Anolis sagrei: one gene and its partners. The protein of the gene in region 2 interacts with the protein of the main gene of each other region in a biochemical or structural test. Links are inferred from orthologs where the notes say so. Each region holds a gene or a part of one and is shown on either strand. Other genes may lie near its edges.

Region 1 (7,313 bases), on a different chromosome or scaffold from region 2:
TCTGATGTTTTTTTTTTTTATTCTGGTAGCCAGATTTTGTTCATTTTCATGTTTTCTTCCTTTCTGTTGAAATTGTCCACATGGATTTCAATGGCTTCTCTGTGCAGCCTGACATGAAGTCTAAAATTTCCATATTCTCAAACAATATACTGTGTTCAGGTTGGTTCATCAAGTGCTCTGCTATGGCTGACTTCTCTGGTTGAATTAGTCTGAAGTGCCTTTCATGTTCCTTGATTCGTGTTTGGGCAATGCTGCGTTAAGTGTTCTCCCTGTAGACTTGACCACAGCTGCATGGTATGCGGAAGACTCCTGCAGAGGTGAGAGGATCCCACCTGTTCAGGAAACAATCAGGGCCAGCTAACACCTCCCAACAAAGGATTCCCCATGCAAGAAGCAACCAGGTTTTGAAGCTGCAAGGCTATTCAATGTCAATCAAGGCGGCCAATTGCAACATTCACACTTGCTTCAAACAGACGAGGGTTCTTTCTCCCACCCTGGACATTATTCTACAGACACACACACACACACACACACACACACATATATATATGCATACACATACACGCTCCATTTGCCTCACTCACCAGCAGCAGAACCTCTGAAGATGCCATTAGCCACAGGTGCAGGCGAAACATCAGAAAATAATGCTAGTGGAACATGGAATGCTGTGATTTCTAAAAGTCAGCATGGATTTCTCAAAAGCAAGTCATGCCAAGCTAGTCTTACCTCTTTCTTTTTTTTTCTTTTTTTTTTTGATAGTTACAAGCTTGGTAGATGCAGGGAAAGCTGTGGACTTAGCATACCTTGATTGCAGGAAGGCCTTTGACAAAATCCCCCATGACCTTCTTGCAAACAGACTAGTCCAATGAGGGCTAGCCAAAACTATGGTTAGGTAGATCCGGAATAAGTCAAGCAACTGAACCCAAACGTGATTCTCCCCAATGGTTCATCTTCTTCATCCTGGAAAGAAGTGACTATTTGGGTGCCATAAAGAAGGTTCTGTTCTGGGCCCAGTTCTGTTCAACATCTTTATTAATTACTTGGGATGAAGGTTTAGAGGGTAGGCTGATCAAGTTTGGAGATGGGACCAAATTGGGAGGGGGAGCTAATACTACAGAAAAAAGGATCAGGAAGCAAAAGTACCTTAACAGATTAGAAAGCGGATTGGCCAAAACTAACAAAATGCATTTCAACAAGGACAAATGTAGGCTACCACACTTAGGAAAAGATTCAGGATGGGTGATGCCTGGCTCAACAATAGTCCAGGTGAGAAAGATCTTGGAGTCTTCGTGGACAACAAGTTGAACATGAGACAAGAGTGTGATGCAGCAGCTCAAAAAGCCAATGGGATTTTGGGCTACATCCAAAGGAGTCTAGTGTCTAGATCGAGGGAAGTCATGGTGCCTTTGTATTCAGCTTTGGTCAGACCTCTTTACCTGGAATACTGTGTCCAATTCTGGGCACCACAGTTCAAAGCAGATACTGACTCTAAGCTGGAAGGTGTCCAGAGGAAGAGGGCGAGTAAAAGGATCAAAGGTCTGGAGACCATGAATAAACTCTTTGAGGGGCGTCTTAAAGAACTGGGTCTGTTTAGCCTGCAGAAGAAGAGAAGGTTGAGAGGAGATGTGAGAGCTATGTTTACATACATGAAGGGGTGTCATAGGAAAAAGGAGTAGGCCTGTTTTGAGACTGGGACTCAGAGCAATGGGTTCAAACGACAGGAAAGGAGATCCCACTTGAACATTAGGAAGAACTTCCTGACTGTAAGAAGAGCTGTTCAGCAGTGGAACTCTCTGCCTTGGAGTTCAGTGGAAGCTCCTTTCTTGGAGGCTTTTAAACAGAGCCATCTGTTTAAAAGCCATCTGTCAGGGATACTTGGTCACTGTAAATTATCTTGTATCTTAATGCTTTTTATTCATTAGATTTATACTTGTAAGTATGTCTGAAGTGTTATATTATGTATATTTCTTAATTTTGTAAAGTTCTTAATTTTGGTTATGTTTGGGTTGTCACTATAAGTTTATATTGATGTTGCCCGAGTCCCTAAGCCGCCCCGAGTCCCTTTTTGGAAGAAGATGGTGGCGGGATATAAATGAAGTTATTATTATTTGTTTTCAATTTGATTTGTTGCCTGTTTGTTTTTTTGGCATTGAATGTTGGCCAGCTTTGTTAGAAACCGCCCTGAGTCCCCTCAGACAGATAGGGCGGGTTACAAATGAAGTTATTATTATTATTATTATTATTATTATCACTTTGTGTGTTTCCTGCATGGCAAAATGGGGTTGGACTGGATGGCCCATGAGGTCTCTTCCAACTCTAGGATTCTATTTCTCTCTTTCCTTCTCTGGCCTTTCAACAGAGGCTGGGTGGCCATCTGTCGGGGCTGCTTTGATGGTGCTTTTCCTGCCTGGCAGAAGGGGGTTGGAATAGATGGCCCACGAGGACTCTTCCAACTCTACTATTCTAGGATTCTCTCTCTCTCCTTCTCTGGAGGCCTTTCAACAGAGGATGGGTGGCCATCTGTCGGGGCTGTTTTGATGGTGCTTATCCTGCATGGCAGGGGGTTGGACTAGATGGCCCATGGGGTCTTTTCCAACTCTATTATAATTCTATGATTCTCTGGCCACATAGCCCGGAAAACTCACAGCAAGCCAGTGATTCCGGCCATGAAAGTTTTGGACAACACATATGATTGCTGTCCTTTCTTCTTCTCTTTGCAGGGCGGGGGGGGGGGGGGGGCACAGGAAGAGCCAAAGGGGCGGAGCTTGGTGCTACCCCCCCTTCTGCTATCCACCCCCCTCCCTCCCTCCCTCCCTCCCTCCCTCCCTCCCTCCCTCCGCTGGGCCTACCTCCGGGAGGTCATTTTCCCCGCCAGCGTTGTCCTCCGAGGGGGGCCCGGGGGCCTCGCAGGGGGAAAGGCGACGCCCACGAGCCGGGCCAGCCGCGGGAGCCGAGCGGGAGCCAGCCACACACAGGCCAGCGGCGCTGCACCCGCCTCCGCGCGTCATCCCCCGGCGACGCCGCCTCAAGCCCCGCCCACCCCCACCCCCTCCCCCACCCCAACATCCGGGACACTCCCGCCAAACTCAGCCTCTGACTTCGTTGGTTAGGGGGAAAACAGACCCGTGTGCTTTATGTTCTCGTTGGTGTCAGAAGCGAATCGAGAATACAGTGATAATGTATTTAAAAACCACAGACAAAGTTAGAAACTTGGCATTGTCCCAAATGTCCTTTGACCAGGGGCTGCCCACTTGGAGTGCCTCTGGTGTCGCTGTGAGAAGGTCCTCCATTGTGTATGTGGCAGGGCTCAAGCTGCATTGTAGTAGATAGTCTGGATTTGCTCTCCTCCACACTCGCATGTCGTGGACTCCACTTTAGCCCCATTTCTTCAGCTTGGCTCTTATTGTTATATTTATTTACACCCCACTTTATCTCCCCAAAGGGGACTCAAAAGTGGCTTGACATAAAAGCATTGGTATCCAATTGCAAATATACAAACATTAAAACAGAATTAAACACAAACAGCTAAACATTAAAAAAACCAAGATTATGGCAACAAGAATGATTGACAACTGGAAAATAGAGGGAGAAAATGTGGAGGCCGTGACAGAGTTTGTATTCCTAGGCGCAAAGATTACTGCAGATGCAGACTGTGGCCAGGAAATCAGGAGACGCTTACTTCTTGGGAGGAGAGCAATGTCCAGTCTCGATAAAATAGTAAAGAGTAGAGACATCAGACTGGCAACAAAGATCCGCCTAGTCAAAGCCATGGTATTCCCTGTCGTAACCTACGGATGTGAGAGCTGGACCTTAGGGACGGCTGAGCGAAGGAAGATCGATGCTTTTGAGCTGTGGTGTTGGAGGAAAGTTCTGAGAGTGCCTTGGACTGTGAGAAGATCCAACCAGTCCATCCTCCAGGAAATAAAGCCCGGCTGCTCACTGGAGGGAAGGATACTAGAGACAAAGTTGAAGTACTTTGGCCACATCATGAGGAGACAGCAAAGCCTGGAGAAGACAATGATGCTGGGGAAAGTCGAAGGCAAAAGGAAGAGGGGCCGACCAAGGGCAAGATGGATGGATGGCATCCTTGAAGTGACTGGACTGACCTTGAAGGAGCTGGGGGTGGTGACGGCCGACAGGGAGCTCTGGCGTGGACTGGTCCATGAGGTCACGAAGAGTCGGAGACGACTGAACGAATGAACAACAAAAAAAACAAACAGCATTCAAAATTTCAGATCAAAACCATCAAAACATTCAAAGTTAAAAATCATTGCACTTCTTTAAGGTTCTTGATTGGTCTTGATAGGAAATGCCTGCATTTAATGTTTTTATAGCTCAATTGTGTCTCAAACTGGCAGTGAGATACAGAGTTTCATCTATGCTGACGATCGTGCCATCACCACTCAAGCAGGGAGCTTTGAAATGGTTGAACAGAAGCTCTCTGAAGCTCTAGGTGCTCTTACTGTCTATTACAGCGAAATCTGGCTGATTCCTAATCCATCCGAAACGCAGGCATGTGCTTTTCACCTTAAGAAATCCCACTAGAGCATTGCAGCACGCACAAATACCTGGGAGTTACCCTGGACCAAGCTCTGATTCAAAAGAAGCACTGCTTGACTATCAAGCAAAAAGTGGGCTCTAGAAATAATATCATAGGAAAGCTGACTGGCACAACCTGGGGATCACAACCAGACACAGTGAAGACATCTGCCTTTGCAATTCGCTACTCTGCTGCTGAATACGCATGCTCAGCGTGGAATAAATCTCATCACATTAAAACAGTAGATGTGGCACTGGAGAAATTATACTGCTTAGCTGGTGTTGCACCACCTGACATCTGTCGGGAAGTAGCAGCCATTAATGAAAGGACATCTCTGGCCTGTCCTCTGTTCAGACATCAGCCAGCAAGCCAACACCTTATATCAAGAAACAGCTTCCTAAGATCTACTCACAGGAATACCTCAGCAAGCAATAGTCCAAAAGTGGCAGGCTAAAACCTGCAACTTGAATCATTGGTTGAGACTGGGTGAGAGACTCCCTCCTGGGCACATAGAAAACTAGACGACTTGGAAAGTGCTGAACAGGCTGCGCTCTGGCACTACGAGATGCAGCAACAATCTTAAGAAACGGGGCCACAAAGTGGAACCCACAACATGCGAGTGCGGAGGAGAACAAACCACACTGACTATAATGCAGTCTAAGGGCCCTTCCAGGCAGGCCCTATATCCCAGGATCTGATCCCAGGTTTTCTGTTTATCCCAAATGATCTGGCAGTTCGGACTCACGTAATCCGATTTAAGGCAGAAAACCTGGGTTGAGATCCTGGGATATAGGGCCTATCTGGAAGGGCACTTTGTCTGTAGTATTTTACACATTATAAGTGTATTCTCAATTAGCTTCTGACACCTTTAATAACATCAATCGGCTATCGTCCAGAGCGCCATCTGTCGGACGTTCGAGGCTTTCCGGCCAGCGCGCTGACGTCACGTCACTTACTCCCTTTAGTGCCGAGTTCCCGGATGTTGCCTCCTTTTTTGCTCCATCTCGGAAGGTAAGGATGGCGGCGGCGCGGCTCTTCTCCGTTGAATCTCGGTGTTGTTATCCGCGGCCATCCTCCACACAGGAGCGCCGCCCGGGAGGCGGGGAGGCACCGAGAGCTTCGGGGATGTCTAGCGGGAGGCGAGGGGTTGCTATTTTGGGAGTGGAGAGCGGGAAGGCGTCGCCCTGCAGGATAGGCCGCGCTCGGAGCCATTGAGTTTGTCTTTTTAGGGACAGTTTTGCCTTACGGCAGGCATGGTCAAACATGGGCCCATGCCTGCTTTACGGGGTAAACCTGCATTTGAACCTCATCTCTTGCAAAGCTTCCATTTGAACTTCTATATGATAGGCCTGCATTATTTTCGTGTCTTTTAGCCTTAGGCCTGTGTCTTGGAATCCTATATATCTTAGGTGGATGTATCTTCAGATACATGATGCTGGTCATTGACCATGCTTGTAAGCTGCCTGTAGAATCCCATGCAGTTGATCTGCTCAAGCTCCATGCAGGGCAATGGTGGGAGTTGTAGTTTGGGGAGCTGCCAGCCCTTGAAGCCCTGGCCAAGCTACAACTCCCAGCCTTCCCTAGCATTGCACATATAGATGTATATGTAGATTTTATATATGTGTGTGTGTGTGTGTGTGTATATATATATATATAAAATAAAATGTATCATGTAATATGTAATATATATTACATGTAATACACATTCTACATTGTAACATATATGTATATAACATATGTAGATATATAACATATATAATAAATAATACTTTATACAATGCAATGTTACATGTGTATGTAATATATGTAGGTGTGTGTGTATATATTATGTAGCCGCTTTACCTCTCCTTGGAGAGAGAAATAGGGTATAGATAAATACACATATATTTGTATTGCATTGTATATGTTATATTTTTATATACCAGGTCCATGATGTCAGAGATTTGGCTGCAGAAAGAGCCAGACTGGCCCATGGAGTTGGTTGTGCAATGTGGGACCAAGGTTGAAGGGTAACTTTGGGCCAGGCTGCTTTGAATTTTGGACTAAACGTTGCTGTCTTTTGGAGACAGGATACTGATTGTTTACTGCCTGGAGTCCTTAAATGGGGAGAAAAGCAGGATTAAAATGCAATACATCGATATTGAATGGGGCTTATGGAAAATTTTGATTGTACTTTGTTTAGATTTGGCTTCCAACTCCAGCTAAATAAAGACATCTACATTTTGGGGACAAAAAAACCCCCAAGTGCTTCTGGCTCAAGCATTTTGGGAAAGGGGCATTTAAGATGTACTACTTTGAATACATAGGACTAATATTTTCCAAGATAAGGATGCTAGGTTGAACTCTCTAGCATAGATATTTGCAATATACACATTTCCCCCTGCCTCAAACTGACTTGAAGCCTTCAGTCCACAATTGTGTAAGTTCAAAAATGCTTCCCAGGCTGGATCTATGCTGCCCTATATATATTCCAGGATATGATCCCAGGTTATTTGGCAGTGTAGACTCATGATCCATTTGAAAGCAGATAATCTGGGATTGGATGCTGTAGGGCAATGGGGGGAGGGGAGGGGCAGTCCATCCATAGTCACTTTGGGTTTTGTCCCTGTGCATCATTGCGAATTATGTCCTTTAGAAAGTTTCTATGATCAAATCTTCAGCTGTCAGCGATTCTATCTTTTTCCAATATTGTGCATATATACCATTCTTGCTCCAGTTGATGTGTACTGTAATGTTTGGTCACATCTGTATCCAAATTCCCAAATGGTCTTGC
Region 2 (7,910 bases):
ATGCTGGTCCCTCCCCAAACTACAATTCCCAGCATTCCATAACATTGAGCAAATTCAATTACAGGAGTATCATAATTCATTAATTGGAACAGTATTGAAATTTTGCAAGGTGTTTAGTATTCTATACCAAAATGCTGGTCCAGCCCCAAACTACAATTCCCAGCATTCCATAACATTGAGCAAATGCAATTTACAGGAGTATCAAAATGCATTAATTGGTAAAGTATTGAAGTTTTACAAGGTCTTTAGCTTTCTGTACCAAAATGCTGGTCCCTCCCCAAACTACAATTCCCAGCATTCCATAACATTGCGCAAATTCAATTGCAGGAGTATCAAAATCCATTAATTGGGTCAGTATAAACCCTGAGCCTTTAGTGTTGCATGTAATGAACAAAGGGATAATGCATACATGGAGGTGAAGGTCATCATAAATAAATCAGAAAAGACTTGGAGGAACACACACTAAAGCATTCCATAGCAGTGAAAGTGGTGTCACACCACATGCCTTCTATAGTGTAGATGCAAACTTTTTCTTCAAAAGAAGGAGCACCCAACTCCTCCAGCTCAAGACAAACACAGTGCAAAGGCAGCCAAACCTATGAGTGTGAAACTTATCTCTGGAGTATGCTACTATCTCCACACGTCCCTAAACCGAAGCGAAACCAGATAAGGCTTGTTCCCTGTGGATTGCAGCAATACAGATTGTAAGGGCGGGGTTGGCCAAGGCAATTGATTGATTTATTGATTGGGGACCTTGCAAGAGCTTTCTTTCTAGGAAGGAGGCACACTATCTCCAACCAAAGGCATTCATTAACCAAGGCAGAGCCCAGCAGGGTTTTGTTTACTTCTGAACTGCAATCTCAGCCAATCCAATTGGAAAGTGATCTGAGACCCCATTTCTCAAGATTTCCAATCCCCCAGCGGATGGGAACCACTTGCACAACAGCTTTGCTTTCTCTCTCCTGACTCCTGGACTGTTTTGACATGCAGATAGGGAACAAATGTGCTTTGACACCACTTTAGCAACTAGGGCATAATGCAAGGGAATCCTAGGAAGTTGGGGAGTTTTGCAAGGTCTTGACCAGGCATTAGGAAACTTGGGGCCCTCCAGGTGCTTTGGACTTCAACTCCCACCATTCCTAACAGCCTCAGGCCCCTTCTCTTTCCCTCTCAGCCGCTTAAGCTACAAACTACGATTCCCAGCATTCCATAGCATTGAGTAAATGCAATTAAAGGAGTATCAAACTAGATTAATTGGGACAGTACTTAAACTACAAACTACAATTCCCAGAACTCCATAACATTGAGCAAATGCAATGAAAGGAGTATCAAACTAGATTAATTGGGACAGTACTGAAGTTTTACAAGGTCTTTAGCTTTGTGCTGGTCCCTCCCCAAACTACAATTCCCAGCACTCCATAACATTGAGCAAATGCAATTAAAGGAGTATCAAACTAGATCAATTGGGACAGTACTCCATAACATTGAGCAAATGCAATTAAAGGAGTATCAAACTAGATCAATTGGGACAGTACTGAAGTTTTACAAGATCTTTAGCTTTCTATACCAAAATGCTGGCCCCCTCCCCAAACTACAATTCCCAGCACTCCATAACATTGAGCAAATGCAATTAAAGGAGTATCAAATTAGATCAATTGGGACAGTACTTAAGCTACAAACTACAATTCCCAGCACTCCATAACATTGAGCAAATGCAATTAAAGGAGTATCAAACTAGATCAATTGGGACAGTACTTATGCTACAAACTACAATTCCCAGCACTCCATAACACTGAGCAAATGCAATTAAAGGAGTATCAAACTGCATTAATTGGGACAGTATTAAGGTTTTACATGATCTTTAGCTTTCTGTACCAAAGTGCTGGTCCCTCCCCAAACTACAATTCCCAGCACTCCATAACATTGAGCAAATGCAATTAATGGAGTATCAAACTGCATTAATTGGGACAGTATTAAGGTTTTACATGATCTTTAACTTTCTTTACTAAAGTGCTGGTCCCTCCCCAAACTACAATTCCCAGCACTCCATAACATTGGGCAAATGCAATTAAAGGAGTATCAAATTAGGAGTATCAAATTAGTACTTAAGCTACAAACTACAATTCCCAGCACTCCATAACATCGCGCAAATGCAATTAAAGGAGTATCAAACTGCATCAGTTGGGACCTTATTAAAGTTTTACAGGATCTTTAGCTTTCTGTACCAAAGTGCTGGTCCCTCCCCCAAACTACAATTCCCAGCACTCCATAACATTGAGCAAATGCAATTAAAAGAGTATCAAACTGCATTAATTGGGACAGTATTAAAGTTTTACAGGATCTTTAGCTTTGTGTACTAAAGTGCTGGTCCCTCCCCAAACTACAATTCCCAGCACTTCATAACACTGAGCAAATGCAATTAAAGGAGTATCAAACTGCATTAAGCGGCTGTGGGGGGAAAGGAAAGGGCCTGAGGCTGTGAGGAATGATGGGAGTTGAAGTCCAAAGCACCTGCAGGGCTCAAGTTTGCCCATACATGGTCTATATTGAACATACAATGCAATGTAGATCTAGCCAAATTGTCCCTGCCCTCTTTCCACAGTCCTCAAATCTCATTTTTTTGCTTGTGTCTGTTTGTAGGAACCCAAACAATGCAACTTGGACTTACCTTCGGTGGCCCAAACCCTGGGCAGAACCGATCCCAGGAGGAACCCCAAGCCAAGCCAACCGGGGCTGAGAAAGGGCCCCATTGTTTTGTCATGACCAAGCCCGGCTCATCCTTCCAAACTTGGCTGGAGGAGTTCCTTCTTCTTTTCCAAATCCTTTCCTCCGAATCCAGCCCGATCGGTTGGTTTGCCTTTGCAAGAGCTTGCTCGTCCCACTTTCCTTCCCGATCCCAACTTCACAACTCCGACTTTTTGCTTCCCACTTCCGCGAAGGGAAAGGAGAGAAAGAGAGAAGCCACCACCTTCTTTCTCCTCCAACCTTGAGCGTCGGGAACGCGCGCGGCGCGCCCCCGAGGAGGAATCCGGCTCACGCTGCAAAGCCATTCATTCCACTTTGGGACACACTTTGGAAGAGGCCAAGTTGAGCACTGCTTTCACTGCCACGACTCAGGACTCTTCCACACAGCCCTATATCCCAAGGCAAGAAATCCCACAATATCTGAGTGTGCAGGATCTATATCTCAGGATCTCATCCCAGGTTTTCTCTGGCAGTGTGGACTCATATAATCCAGTTTAAAGCAGAAAACCTGGGATCATATCCTGGAATATAGGGCCTGTCTGGAGGGACCCTCAGATAACTATAGGCCAGTGGTTCTCAACCTTCCTAATGCCATGACCCCTTAATCCACTTCCTCATGTTGTGGTGACCCCCAACCATAAAATTAGTTTCATTGCTACTTCATAGCTGTCATTTTGCTGCTGTTATGAATAGTAATGTAAATATCTGATATGCAGGATGTATTTTCATACACTGGACCAAACTTGGCACAAAGACCCAATATACCCAAATTTAAATACTGGTGGGATTGGAGGAGGGTATTGATTTTGCCCTGTGGGAGTTGTAGTTGCAGGGATTTCTAGTTCACCTACAATCAAAGAGCATTCTGAACTCCACCAATGATGGAATTGAACCTATCTTGGTACACAGAACACCCATGACCAAGAGAAAATACTAGAAGAGTTTGGTGGGAATTGAACCTTGAGTTTTGGGAGTTGTAGTTCATCTACATCCAGAGAGCACTGTGGATTCAAACAATGATGGATCTGGGCCAAACTTGGCACGAATTCTCAATATGCCCAAATGTAAACACTAGTGGGGTTTAGGGAAAATAGATTTATATAGTTCACGTATAATCAAAGAGCATTTTGAACCCTGCCAACGACTGAATTGGGCCAAACTTCCCACACAGAACCTCCATGGCCAACAGAAAATACTGTGTTTTCTTGTGGTCTTTGGTGACCCCTCTGACACCCCCTTGTGACCCCTCCAGGGGTCCCAACCCCCAGGTTGAGAAACACTGCTATAGGCCCTTCTGCACAACCTTATATCCCAGAACATCAAGGCAGGAAATCCCACATTATCTGACTGTGGACTCGGATAACCCAGTTATTGTGGGATTTTCTGCCTTTCTATTCTGGGATATAAAGATGTGAAAAAGGGCCCTTAGTTATCTGAGTTATGATCACAGGTTTCCTGTTTATCCCAGACTAGCCGTCCCCTGCCACGCGTTGCTGTGGCCCACATGGGGGTTCTGTGGGAGGTCTGGCCCAATTCTATCGTTGGTGGGGTTCAGAATGCTCTTTGATTGTAGGTGAACTATAAATCCCAGCAACTACAACTCCCGAATGTCAAGATTTTATTTACCCCAAACTCTACCAGAGTTCGCATTCGGACATATTGAGTGTTTGTATAGAGTTTGGTCCAGGTCCATCATTGTTTGAGTCCATAGTGATCTCTGGATGTAGGTGAACTACAACTCCAAAACCAAAGGGCACTGCCCACCAAACCTTTCCAGTATTTTCTGTTGGTCATGGGAGAACTGTGTGCCAAGTTTGGTTCAATTTCATCATTGGTGGGGTTCAGAATGCTCTTTAATTGTAGGTGAACTATCAATCCCAGCAACTACAGCTCCCAAATGACAAAATCATTTTTTTAGTGAAAGACATACATTGGGTTGTTAGGTGTCTTGTGTCCAAATTTGGTGTCAATTCATCCAGTGGTTTTTGAGTTCTGTTAATCCCACAAATGAACATTACATTTTTATTTATATAGATGTAATATTCCTAATAATATTACGATATAGTGGTATGGTGCAATATAGCAATGTTTAATGCTGATATTGTACTGTGCTAATAATATAATATATTGTATGTATATAATATATGCCTTGTAAGCCGCTCTGAGCCCCCTTCGGGGTGAGAAAGGCGGCATATAAAATTTGTAAATAAATAAATATGCTAACACAATTTTTGTTCCTAGGTTATAAATGTAATTTCCTATCATTGGTTCTATCATAAAAACATGGGGAAAGTTTATTAAGTCCTGCAGTACATTTTGCTATAATTTTTCAATGGTATTATATCTTGGTATTATACCTTCTAATATATCACGCCTGCTGGTACCAATATAATAAAATCAAAATCCCGCTGGACACCAGTTTAGAGGATCTTAATTGCTAATTAAGTTTCAACCAATTCAACATAGCTTGTGTCAGCCACAAAACACACATTTGGAGGAGGGCCAATGTGGTCCCAATCTTCAAGAAGGGAAAAAAGGATGACCCAAACAACTACCGTCCGGTCAGCCTCACGTTGATACCAGGCAAGATTCTGGAAAAGATTATTAAGGAAGTGGTCTGCAAACACTTAGAATCAAATGCGGTCATCGCTAATAGTCAACATGGATTTATCAAAAACAAGTCATGCCAGACTAATCTGATCTCTTTTTTCGATAGAGTTACAAGCTGGGTAGATGCGGGGAATGCCGTGGATGTAGCGTACCTGGATTTCAGTAAGGCCTTCGACAAGGTCCCCCATGACCTTCTGGCAAGGAAACTAGTCCAATGTGGGCTAGGCAAAACTACGGTGAGGTGGATCTGTAATTGGTTAAATGGGCGAACCCAGAGGGTGCTCACCAATTCTTCCTCTTCATCCTGGAAAGAAGTGACAAGTGGAGTGCCGCAGGGTTCCGTCCTAGGCCGGGTCCTGTTCAACATCTTTATTAATGACTTAGATGAAGGGCTAGAAGGCAGGATCATCAAGTTTGCAGACGACACCAAATTGGGAGGGATAGCCAATACTCCAGAGGACAGGAGCAGGATTCAAAACGATCTTGACAGATTAGAGAGATGGGCCAAAACTAACAAAATGAAGTTCAACAGGGGCAAATGCAAGATACTCCACTTAGGCAGAAAAAACGAAATGCAAAGATACAGAATGGGGGGTGCCTGGCTTGAGAGCAGTACGTGTGAAAAAGATCTTGGAGTCTTTGTGGACAATAAGTTAAATATGAGCCAACAATGTGATGTGGCGCAAAAAAAAGCCAATGGGATTTTGGCCTGCATCAATAGGAGCATAGTGTCTAGATCAGGGGTCCTCAAACTAAGGCCCGGGGGCCAGATACGGCCCTCAGAGGTTATTTACCCGGCCCTCGCTCAGGATCAAACTAAGTCTGAAATGACTTAAAAGCACACAACAACAACCACAACAGCAACAACCCTATTTCATCAGCCAAAAGCAGGCCCACACTTCCCATTGAAATACTAATAAATTTATATTTGCTAAAATTGTTATTTATTTTAATTATTGTATTGTTTTAAAGTGTTTTTTGCACTACAAATAAGATATATGCAGTATCCATAGGAATTCATTAATGTTTCTTCAAATTATAACTCGGCCCTCCAACAGTTTGAGGGACTGTGACCTGGCCCTCAGTTTAAAAAGTTTGAGGACCCCTGGTCTAGATCTAGGGAAGTCATGCTACCCCTCTATTCCGCTTTGGTTAGACCACACCTGGAATATTGTGTCCAATTCTGGGCACCACAATTCAAGAGAGATATTGACAAGCTGGAATGTGTCCAGAGGAGGGCGACTCAAATGATCAAGGGTCTGGAGAACAAGCCCTATGAGGAGCGGCTTAAGGAGCTGGGCATGTTTAGCCTGAAGAAGAGAAGGTTGAGAGGAGATATGATAGCCATGTATAAATATGTGAGAGGAAGCAACAGGGAGGAGGGAGCAAGCTTGTTTTCTGCTTCCTTGGAAACTAGGACGCGGAACAATGGCTTCAAACTACAAGAGAGGAGATTCCCTCTGAACAAGAGGAAGAACTTCCTGACTGTGAGGGCCGTTCAGCAGTGGAACTCTCTGCCCCGGAGTGTAGTGGAGGCTCCTTCTTTGGAAGCTTTTAAACAGAGGCTGGATGGCCATCTGTCAGGGGTGATTTGAATGCAATATTCCTGCTTCTTGGCAGGGGTTTGGACTGGATGGCCCACGAGGTCTCTTCCAACTCTTTGATTCTATGATTCTATGATTTCTGGAATATAACAACTACTTTCAAGGTAAATACCGCACAATTAAACAGGAAATAACACTTTCAAACCAGGAACAGAATTTTTTTCAAATTTTGTTACATAGTGTAATGAGAAATGAGGAAAACCACAATGAGGATGGATTGAGTCAATCACGGAAGCCAAATCCCTGAGTATGAGGAACCTGAGCAGGGCTATAGGTCACTGAACTCATTGACATCCTGCATCCATAAGGTCAGTATAAGTTGAATCTGACTTGACAATAACTTCGGCTTCAGTTGATTCACTGCTTAAACAAATGTTTCATCTTGGTTACTTCAATCAAGTGGATATACTTGAACATTGCCAAAACATGGGCGTAAGTGGTTTTCCGAGGAACTGAAAGAAGTGGGGAAACATTACTGTTTAGTCAACAAATGTTACCATAGTACTTGTTCGGAACAGGGGTGGAAACATACCAGGTTTCAAGCAGCTGAAACACAAAACATGCCGTTAGCTTTCTTTTCTCTTTATTGGTTTTTATTCAGAATATAATACAATACAGAAAAACATTTCTTCATAATAGATATAAAACTATTACAACATAAATAATTCCAGCACTAATAAAAACATATTGAACACACAACTACTATGACTATTCTATGAAACACACACTCATTGTCAGTTGATTTTTACTCGTTTTCCAACTTTTTTTAGATAACACTATATCAATGTTTCTCAACCTTCCTACTGCCGCAATCCCATAATACAGTTCCTCATGTTGTGATGACCCCCAGCCATAAAATTATTTTCATAGCAAAACTGTAATTTTGCTACTGTTATGAATCATAATGTAATATCTGATATACAGGATGTATTTTCATTCACCGGACCAAAT
Region 3 (7,718 bases), on a different chromosome or scaffold from region 2:
TCTTTAGCCCAACCAAATAGAAATGGAATTCAATTGTATTCGCTTTGGCACGTGGAGTTAACTACAGGAGAACAAAATGGGGCATTGCCTCCCCATTAATGTTCAGTCTCCCCAATGAGATGGTAGAGAGGCAGAATTGTATAGTGTGTTTGGTTAGGAACCTGGAAGACTAAGGTTCAAATCCCTGCTTAGCCATTGAGACCATGGGTAGGTCCCCCAGTCTCAGTGGAAGGCAATACAACACACACACACACCCTGAATAAAGCATGCCAAGAAAACATGATAGGTTTGCTTATCAGGTTAGAAACTCAACAAAAACAACAAAATTTAAATGTTTCATTGCTGGAAGGGATTTTTCCTGAGGTTTGTTGCTGTTGTTGTCTTTGTTGTGTGCCTTCAAGTGATTTCCAAAGTATGGCAAAGCTTTTACTGGGCATTATTTATTCAGAAAGGATTTGCCATTGCCTTTCTCTGGAGAGAGTTAGATTTGCCCAACATCATCCAATAGTTCTGCAATGCTCCAAAGTAAGTCAATGCTCAGACAACCAAACTATGGTGGCTCCTTTGCCTACATATTTGGCAAGCCAGATCCTATCAGATCTTGGAAGTTAAGCAGGGCCAGGCATGGTTAGCGTTTGGATGGGCAATCGCTGCAGAATAACAAGTGCCGTAGACGATATTTCAGAGAAAAGCTGGAGCAGTTCTATTCTGAATCTTCTTTGCACAAATAATTCTATAAAACGTATGGAACCACCAAAACCACAAACGCATGGAACCACTTTGCATGTTTAGCCTGAAGAAGAGAAGGCTGAGAGGAGACATGATAGCCATGTATAAATATGTGAGAGGAAGCCACAGGGAGGAGGGAGCAAGCTTGTGTTCTGCTTCCTTGGAGACTAGGACGCGGAACAATGGCTTCAAACTACAAGAAAGGAGATTCCATCTGAACATGAGGAAGAACTTCCTGACTGTGGGAGCCGTTCAGCAGTGGAACTCTCTGCCCCGGAGTGTGGTGGAGGCTCCTTCTTTGGAAGCTTTTAAACAGAGGCTGGATGGCCATCTGTCAGGGGTGATTTGAATGCAGTATTCCTGCTTCTTGGCAGGGGGTTGGACTGGATGGCCCATGAGGTCTCTTCCAACTCTTTGATTCTATGATTCTATGAAAAGGTGACAGGTAATTTGAAGGCACATTTTGGGTGTTATAGTTATTCTCCTTTCTACAGCTGGAAAATAAAATCAAAACGTCTAGAACGCCAAATCTCTGAAAACTGGTCTATTCTTGGGGTGCATCTACACTGTAAAATTAATAATAATAATAATAATCTTTATTTGTACCTCGCTACCATTTCCCCAAGGGACTCGGTGTGGCTTACATGAGGCCAAGCCCAAAGTACATCAAACAAAACATCAATAAACACAACATCAATAAACAATCAATAAAATACAAATCATATAAATCACATAAACAAAAAACAATCAATAGTGACATAAACAATTTTTAAAAATGGCCGGGCCAAATGTAATAGATTAAAATTGATTAAAATCAAAGCAGACTATGTACCTGAGTCTACACTGCCATTTAATCCAGTTCAAATCAGATAATCTGGATTTGATTATCTATTATCAAGTCTAGTCTTGGGGTGCATCTACACTGTATAATTAATGCAGTTTTATACCACTTTGACTGCCATTGGTCAGTGCTAGGTAATCTTTTGATACCCCCTCTACACTGCCATATAATCCAGATTATCAAAGCAGACTATCTACCTGAGTCTACATTGCTGTTTAATCCAGTTCAAATCAGATAATCTGGATTTGATTATCTATTTTCAAGTCTAGTCTTGGGGTGCATTTACACTGTAGAGTTAATGCAGTTTGATACCACTTTGACTGCCATGGGTCGGTGCTAGGTAATCTTTTGATACCCCCTCTACACTGGAATATAATCCAGATTATCAAAGCAGACTATCTACCTGAGTCTACATTGCCGTTTAATCCAGTTCAAATCAGATAATTTGGATCTGATTATCTATTATCAAGTCTAGTCTTGAGGTACAGCTACACTGTAGAATTAATGCAGTTTGATACCACTTTGACTGCCATGGGTCGGTGCTAGGTAATCTTTTGATACCCCCTCTACACTGCCATATAATCCAGATTATCAAAGCAGACTATCTACCTGAGTCTACATTGCCGTTTAATCCAGTTCAAATCAGATAATCTGGATTTGATTATCTATTTTCAAGTCTAGTCTTGGGATGCATCTACACTGTAGAGTCAATGCAGTTTGGTACCACTTTGACTGTCATGGGTGAGTGCTAGGTAATCTTTTGAGGCCCCCTCTAAAGGTAGGTAAAGGTAGTCCCCTGACATCAAGTCCAGTCATGTCTGACTCTGGGGTGTGGTGCTCATCTCCATTTCTAAGCCAAAGAGCCAGCGTTGTCCGTAAACACCTCCAAGGTCATGTGGCCAGCATGACTGCATCAGGCCCCCTCTACATTGCCATATAATCCAGATTATCAGTGTGGACTCAGGCCCCTTCTGCACTGCCATATACAATCCACATTATCTGCTTTGAACTGGAATATGTGAGTCTAAGATGTCACATAATCCAGTTCAAAGCAGATAATCTGGATTGTATGTGGCAGTGTAGAAGCGGCCTGAGTTGTAGTTTGGTGAGACACTAGCGCTATTCAGCACAGAAGGCTAAAAGCCTTGTAAAATGGCAACTCCATCCATTCCACAGCATTGAGCCATGGCAGGCAAAGTGGCGTCAAACTACATTAATGTTACATTATACATGTACCCTTGGTCCCAACATTTGGAAAGAGCCAATGCTATGGGTTTGCAAGTTTGCACCAAGTTCAATTTCTCACCTTGGCGTCTTCCTTGCGACAGCGTTCAAAACATCTCCCTTGAAATCCCAGAAGCCCTCCACAGCTTCCAAAGAAGACCAAACATTTGGAGTCTTCTAAGCTCTTGATAAGGGCTTTTTTCATCTGACAAAGTCACTTGTCTACCGAAATGCCCTAATAAAGCCTCTTGCCTGCGTCAGTTCGTGGTTTCCTGCCGACAAGATCAGAAGAGCCAACTGGGAGGACGGCTGATGCTCTCCAGGGTCCAGGGGCCTGTAAAGCAGCCGCCAGGTTCCTTCTGAGCTAATGTTAGCCTTGTGGCCACTTTGGTGGAAAATAACACTTGCCCACAAAGCCTCAATGGACTAGAACAAGCTGCTATTCTGTTTACCATTTTCAAACTGTTCACAGCTATTTTTGACTTCCCTGTATTGACTTCTGTTCATCACCGTCTTGGTCCGCCCCAAAAAATAAGGGCTGGGTCCTACTCAGCTGACTTGCTGAATTACTTAGGCGATCCCTCGTTGTCTGAGTAAGATTGTCCTTAAAGTTCGGTGTCCTGGCGGTGAGTACATAGGTGACTGTGGAGCCCTGTCCTTAACCTGCATGTTCTCCCACAGTGAGGGCATTGGTTTCCAGGTGGAAGGCAGTCCCGGTCGGGGTTGGCTTGACGTGCATTCCTCTTGGCACATTTCTCTCTTTCGCCCTCCAGTCATGCCTTTTCAAATCGTACAGCACTGCTGGACACAGCTGACCTCCAGCTAGAGCACTTCCCAATTCTCGGTGTCTATGCCAGAGTTTTTAAGGTTGGTGTTGAGCCCATCTTTAAATCTCTTTTCCTGTCCTCCAATATTCCATTTCCCATTCTTGAGTTTGGAGTAAAGTAACTGCTTTGGGTGATCGGGCATCTGGACAACGAGGCCAGTCCAGCGGTGTGGATGGCGGAAGACCATCGCTTCAATGCTGGTGGTCTTTGCTTCTTCCAACCCGCTGACATGTGTCTGCCTGTCTTCCCAAAAGATTTGCAGGATTTTCCGGAGGCAGCACAGATGGAATCGTTTCAGGAGTGCATATAGTGTCTATAGATAGTCCACGTTTCGCAGACATATAGCAGGGTTGGGAGGACAATAGCTTTAAAAAGAAGCACTTTGGTATCCCTACGGATGTCCCAGTCCTCAAACACTCTCTGTTCTGTCGCACGCTGGGCCTGTAACAGCTGTACTTTTCTATAGGACGTATACTTTAAGCCCAGCACGAAGCCAGGGGCGCCTCAAAGAGAGATTCTTAGGGATTTTTTTTGAAGTGATGGTCTTTAGAGTCTTTAATGATACAACAAAGTCTTTATTATGGAACAAACAACAAATCTTCAAAGGTTCAAACAACACTTCAAGACTTTAAGTCTAGTCCTCAATGGACTGGCACCTGACTTTAATTAACTAAACTTTCTCTGTAGGAAAACCCCCTTTTAACCTCTCCCAGGCTGCTTTCTATCTATGCCTCATCGGTGTGGGTCCTACTACCGATTCCAAATGCGTCTGGGTATCGAGTAGACCTACCAGCCGAGGCTTGAAGATATTTCAGCTGGAGTTCTGTGGATCTGTAATGCTGTCCTCCCTCCGAGAATTCTTTGAAACTTCAGGGCTGTTTTCCCTCTGTTGCTGTGAGGCTGAGAGGCTGTGAGCTCTCAGCCAGAGCTTCTGGGAACTTTCTCCTGGAATTTCTGTTTCTGTATCCCCGGGCGTTACTTTTCCCTGGATGCTCTTGAGAAAGGAAACTTTTCTACGGGAAGAGCTGGTCTACGTCCTATAGCTTAGCTACCTTGTGTGAAACTGGCCAAAAAATGGCTCCTTTCCCTCCCAGAGCCCAGAACAAGGGGCGGAACCAAAGCTTAATTATGATGGACAGGAGCCCTGCCCTATGATTGCAAACTTTAACAGAAAGAAAATAAGCTTGGAGCTCCTGGTACAGCCGTACCAGCGCACTCTCTGCTTAATTTGGAAAAATGCTGCACTCACAGAGCTCAGGCGATGTTGTATTTCAGTATCAATGTTGACATTTGTGGAGAGGTGGCTGCCAAGGGAGCGGAAATGGTCAACATTTTCTAATGTTACACCATTAAGCTGTATTTCTGGCAATGCAGATGGGTTGGTTGGTGACTGCTGGAAAAATCGCTAAATTATTGAAAACTGAATCAAGACTTATGGTCATCCCATTGAATGAATAGGTTTAATTAGACCAGTAGAATACAGGATTAAATATTTTCCAAGAGTGGTCCTATGCACACTACTTTTCCCTCTCTCAGACGGAGCTTCTGTCTCATTTGTGGCCGCACCTTTTGCAAGGCATTTGGATGAAAACTAAAGGTTGCGTTGGTTCTGACCTTTGGTTCCAACTTCAGTGTGATTTAACCTATATGGTAAAAACAGAAACTCTTAACTCAGATAAGAGAAGGTGATGAGATAACAGCTGATGTGATGAAGTCCAGAAGGAGATGAAGATGGAAGCCAACAACTACCACTGAGAAAACTAATTTTCCTAATATTTGTCGCTTCCTACCTTATTTGAGCACAAAACATCCTTCGCTGCTGCATATTTAAATGGGAAATAATTGTCTTTTCCATTGCAAACACCCTCTCTCAAAGCCTGAGAAATGACAATCCAATCTTTAAATATGTTTCACTTCCCCATCCTCTTGTTCCAATTGCCTTCTTAATTCCTGCGGTCAACTGAAAAGTGTGCCGACAAATTGAAACAGCTGGGTTTGTTCCCCCTTTTATTGCCCTTCCTTGTTAAAGAATGCCCAATTTATGGCCAGTCACTCCCTTTCTCAGGGTGGGATGGCCTTAGCTTGTGGAAACCATTATAGCATGCGCTCAGGGGTCTTGCAGACTCATAAATCCAGAAATCTGTGGGACAAGATCTTATACTGCACTCGCAAAGTTGCAAATCTATGCTCAATGCGATTTCAGAGCAATTGCACCGGACCACTTTTCTGCTGAATATACAGGGCAACAGATTGCATATGCACATATTAGAGTTGCTATATCTCTCTTTACTATAAACAGGCAGGAAAAGAGAGTGCAAATTCTCTATTCTTTGAATCTTTGCAGAAAATCACCATGATTATAGGAGCCCCCGGGGCGCAGTGGGTTAAACCCCTGTACTGGTAGGACTGAAGATGGACAGGTCGCAGGTTCGAACCCAGGGAGAGTATGGATGAGCTCCCTCTGTCAGCTCCAGCTCCTCATGCGGGGACATGAGAGAAGCCTCCCACAAGGATGGTAAAACACCAAAACATCCAGGTGTCCCCTGGGCAATGTCCTTGCAAATGGCCAATTCTCTCACACCAGAAGCGACTTGCAGTTTCTGATACAATTAAAAAAAACCATGCTTATGCATATATATATGAAATGCTTATATGGCACAGCTAGTTAGTGCATTAAATCACTACTGACCGAGAGATCATGAGTTTGAAGCCAGTCCAGGTCGGAGTAAGCTCCCGATCATTAATAATCTAGTTTGCTGTTGATCTATGCAGCCAGAAAGACAGTTGCATCTGTCAAGTAGGAAATTTAGGTACTGCTTTAACTAATTTAACCAATTTAAATTACTAATTTAACTAATTTACAACACCATAAAACCTTCCAGCAGCGTGCGTAAGAATAAGGAAGTACTCTACAAGGACTCGTTGCCCTCGTTGCTTCATAGAAAATCTGCTACAAAACAGGAGCTTTTTGATGAGTTCTAGGGCCAGAGAAGCAGATGACAAAAACAGAAGAATGGCCTGCCTCAGGGGAGCATGCTTGCTCCCTCGGTGTTTAATATTTACACAAATGACCACCCCCTGCCAAAAGAGTTTCATCTATGCAGATGATGGTGCCATCACCGACCAAGCAGGGAGCCTTGAAATTGTTGAACAGAAGTTCTCTGAAGCTTTGGGTGCTCTTATTTCCTATTACAGGGAAAACCAGATGATTCCTAATTCATCTAAAGCATAGATGTGAGCTTTTCAATTTAAGAACAGACAAGCATTTCAAGCTCTGAGGATTACCTGGGAAGGAATCCCACTGGAGCATTGCAGCACACCTAAATATCTGTGAGTTACCCTGGACTGTGCTCTGACTTATAAGAAGCACTGCTTGACTAACAACCAAAAAGTGGGCACTATAAATAATATCATACAAAAACTGACTGGCATAACCTGAGGATCACAACCAGACACAGTGAAGACATCTGCCCTTGAGCTGTGCTACTCTGCTGCTGAGTATGCATGTCCAGTGTGGAACACATCTCACCATGTTAAAACAGTGGATGTGGCTCTTAATGAGACATGCCACATTATCACAGGATGCCTATGCCCAACACCATTGGAGAAATTATATGTTTAGCCAGTATTGCACCACCTGACATCCACCGGGAAGTAGCAGCCAATAGTGAAAGGACCAAGGCAGTGACATCTCCAACCCATCCCCTGTTTGGATATCAGCCAGCACACCAATGCCTTAAATCAAGAAATAGCTTCTTCTACAAAGATGCTCACAGGAACACCTCAGCAAGCGAGAGTCCAAAAGTGGCAGGCTAAAACCTGGAAGGTCAATCCATAGTTGATGCCGAATGAGAGACTACCTCCTGGGCACACAGAAGACTGGATGACTTGTAAGGTGCTGAACAGACTGTGCTCTGGCACTACGAGGTGCAGAGTCAAACCTTAAGATGTGGGGCCACAAAGTGGAGTCCATGACATGCGAATGTGGAGAAGAGCAAACCACAAACCACCTATTACAATGCAACCTGAGCCTGCCACATGCACAGTGGAGGACCTTATTACAGTGACACCACAGGCACTCCAAGTGGCCAGCTACT

What was found. The genes of interacting proteins can lie anywhere in the genome.
Region 1: the proteins of ERBB2 (region 2) and PTPN11 form a complex in vitro, tested with the Homo sapiens proteins (2 studies listed by BioGRID and IntAct, with this or other methods). The link is inferred for Anolis sagrei from reciprocal best matches to the Homo sapiens genes ERBB2 and PTPN11.
Region 3: the proteins of ERBB2 (region 2) and BLK form a complex in vitro, tested with the Homo sapiens proteins (2 studies listed by BioGRID and IntAct, with this or other methods). The link is inferred for Anolis sagrei from reciprocal best matches to the Homo sapiens genes ERBB2 and BLK.

The regions. Positions count from the first base shown.
Region 1 is NC_090034.1:30,300,004-30,307,316, forward strand, and holds the start of PTPN11 (tyrosine-protein phosphatase non-receptor type 11), read right to left. Parts: upstream 3,003-7,313; 5' UTR 2,864-3,002; coding exon 2,850-2,863; intron 1-2,849. Other genes in the region: RPL6 (large ribosomal subunit protein eL6), read left to right, coding at 5,804-5,827. UniProt on the Homo sapiens protein: Acts downstream of various receptor and cytoplasmic protein tyrosine kinases to participate in the signal transduction from the cell surface to the nucleus. Positively regulates MAPK signal transduction pathway. Dephosphorylates GAB1, ARHGAP35 and EGFR.
Region 2 is NC_090026.1:42,798,731-42,806,640, forward strand, and holds the start of ERBB2 (receptor tyrosine-protein kinase erbB-2), read right to left. Parts: upstream 3,004-7,910; 5' UTR 2,751-3,003; coding exon 2,669-2,750; intron 1-2,668. UniProt on the Homo sapiens protein: Protein tyrosine kinase that is part of several cell surface receptor complexes, but that apparently needs a coreceptor for ligand binding. Essential component of a neuregulin-receptor complex, although neuregulins do not interact with it alone.
Region 3 is NC_090021.1:10,031,945-10,039,662, reverse strand, and holds the start of BLK (tyrosine-protein kinase Blk), read right to left. Parts: upstream 3,003-7,718; 5' UTR 3,000-3,002; coding exon 2,877-2,999; intron 1-2,876. UniProt on the Homo sapiens protein: Non-receptor tyrosine kinase involved in B-lymphocyte development, differentiation and signaling. B-cell receptor (BCR) signaling requires a tight regulation of several protein tyrosine kinases and phosphatases, and associated coreceptors.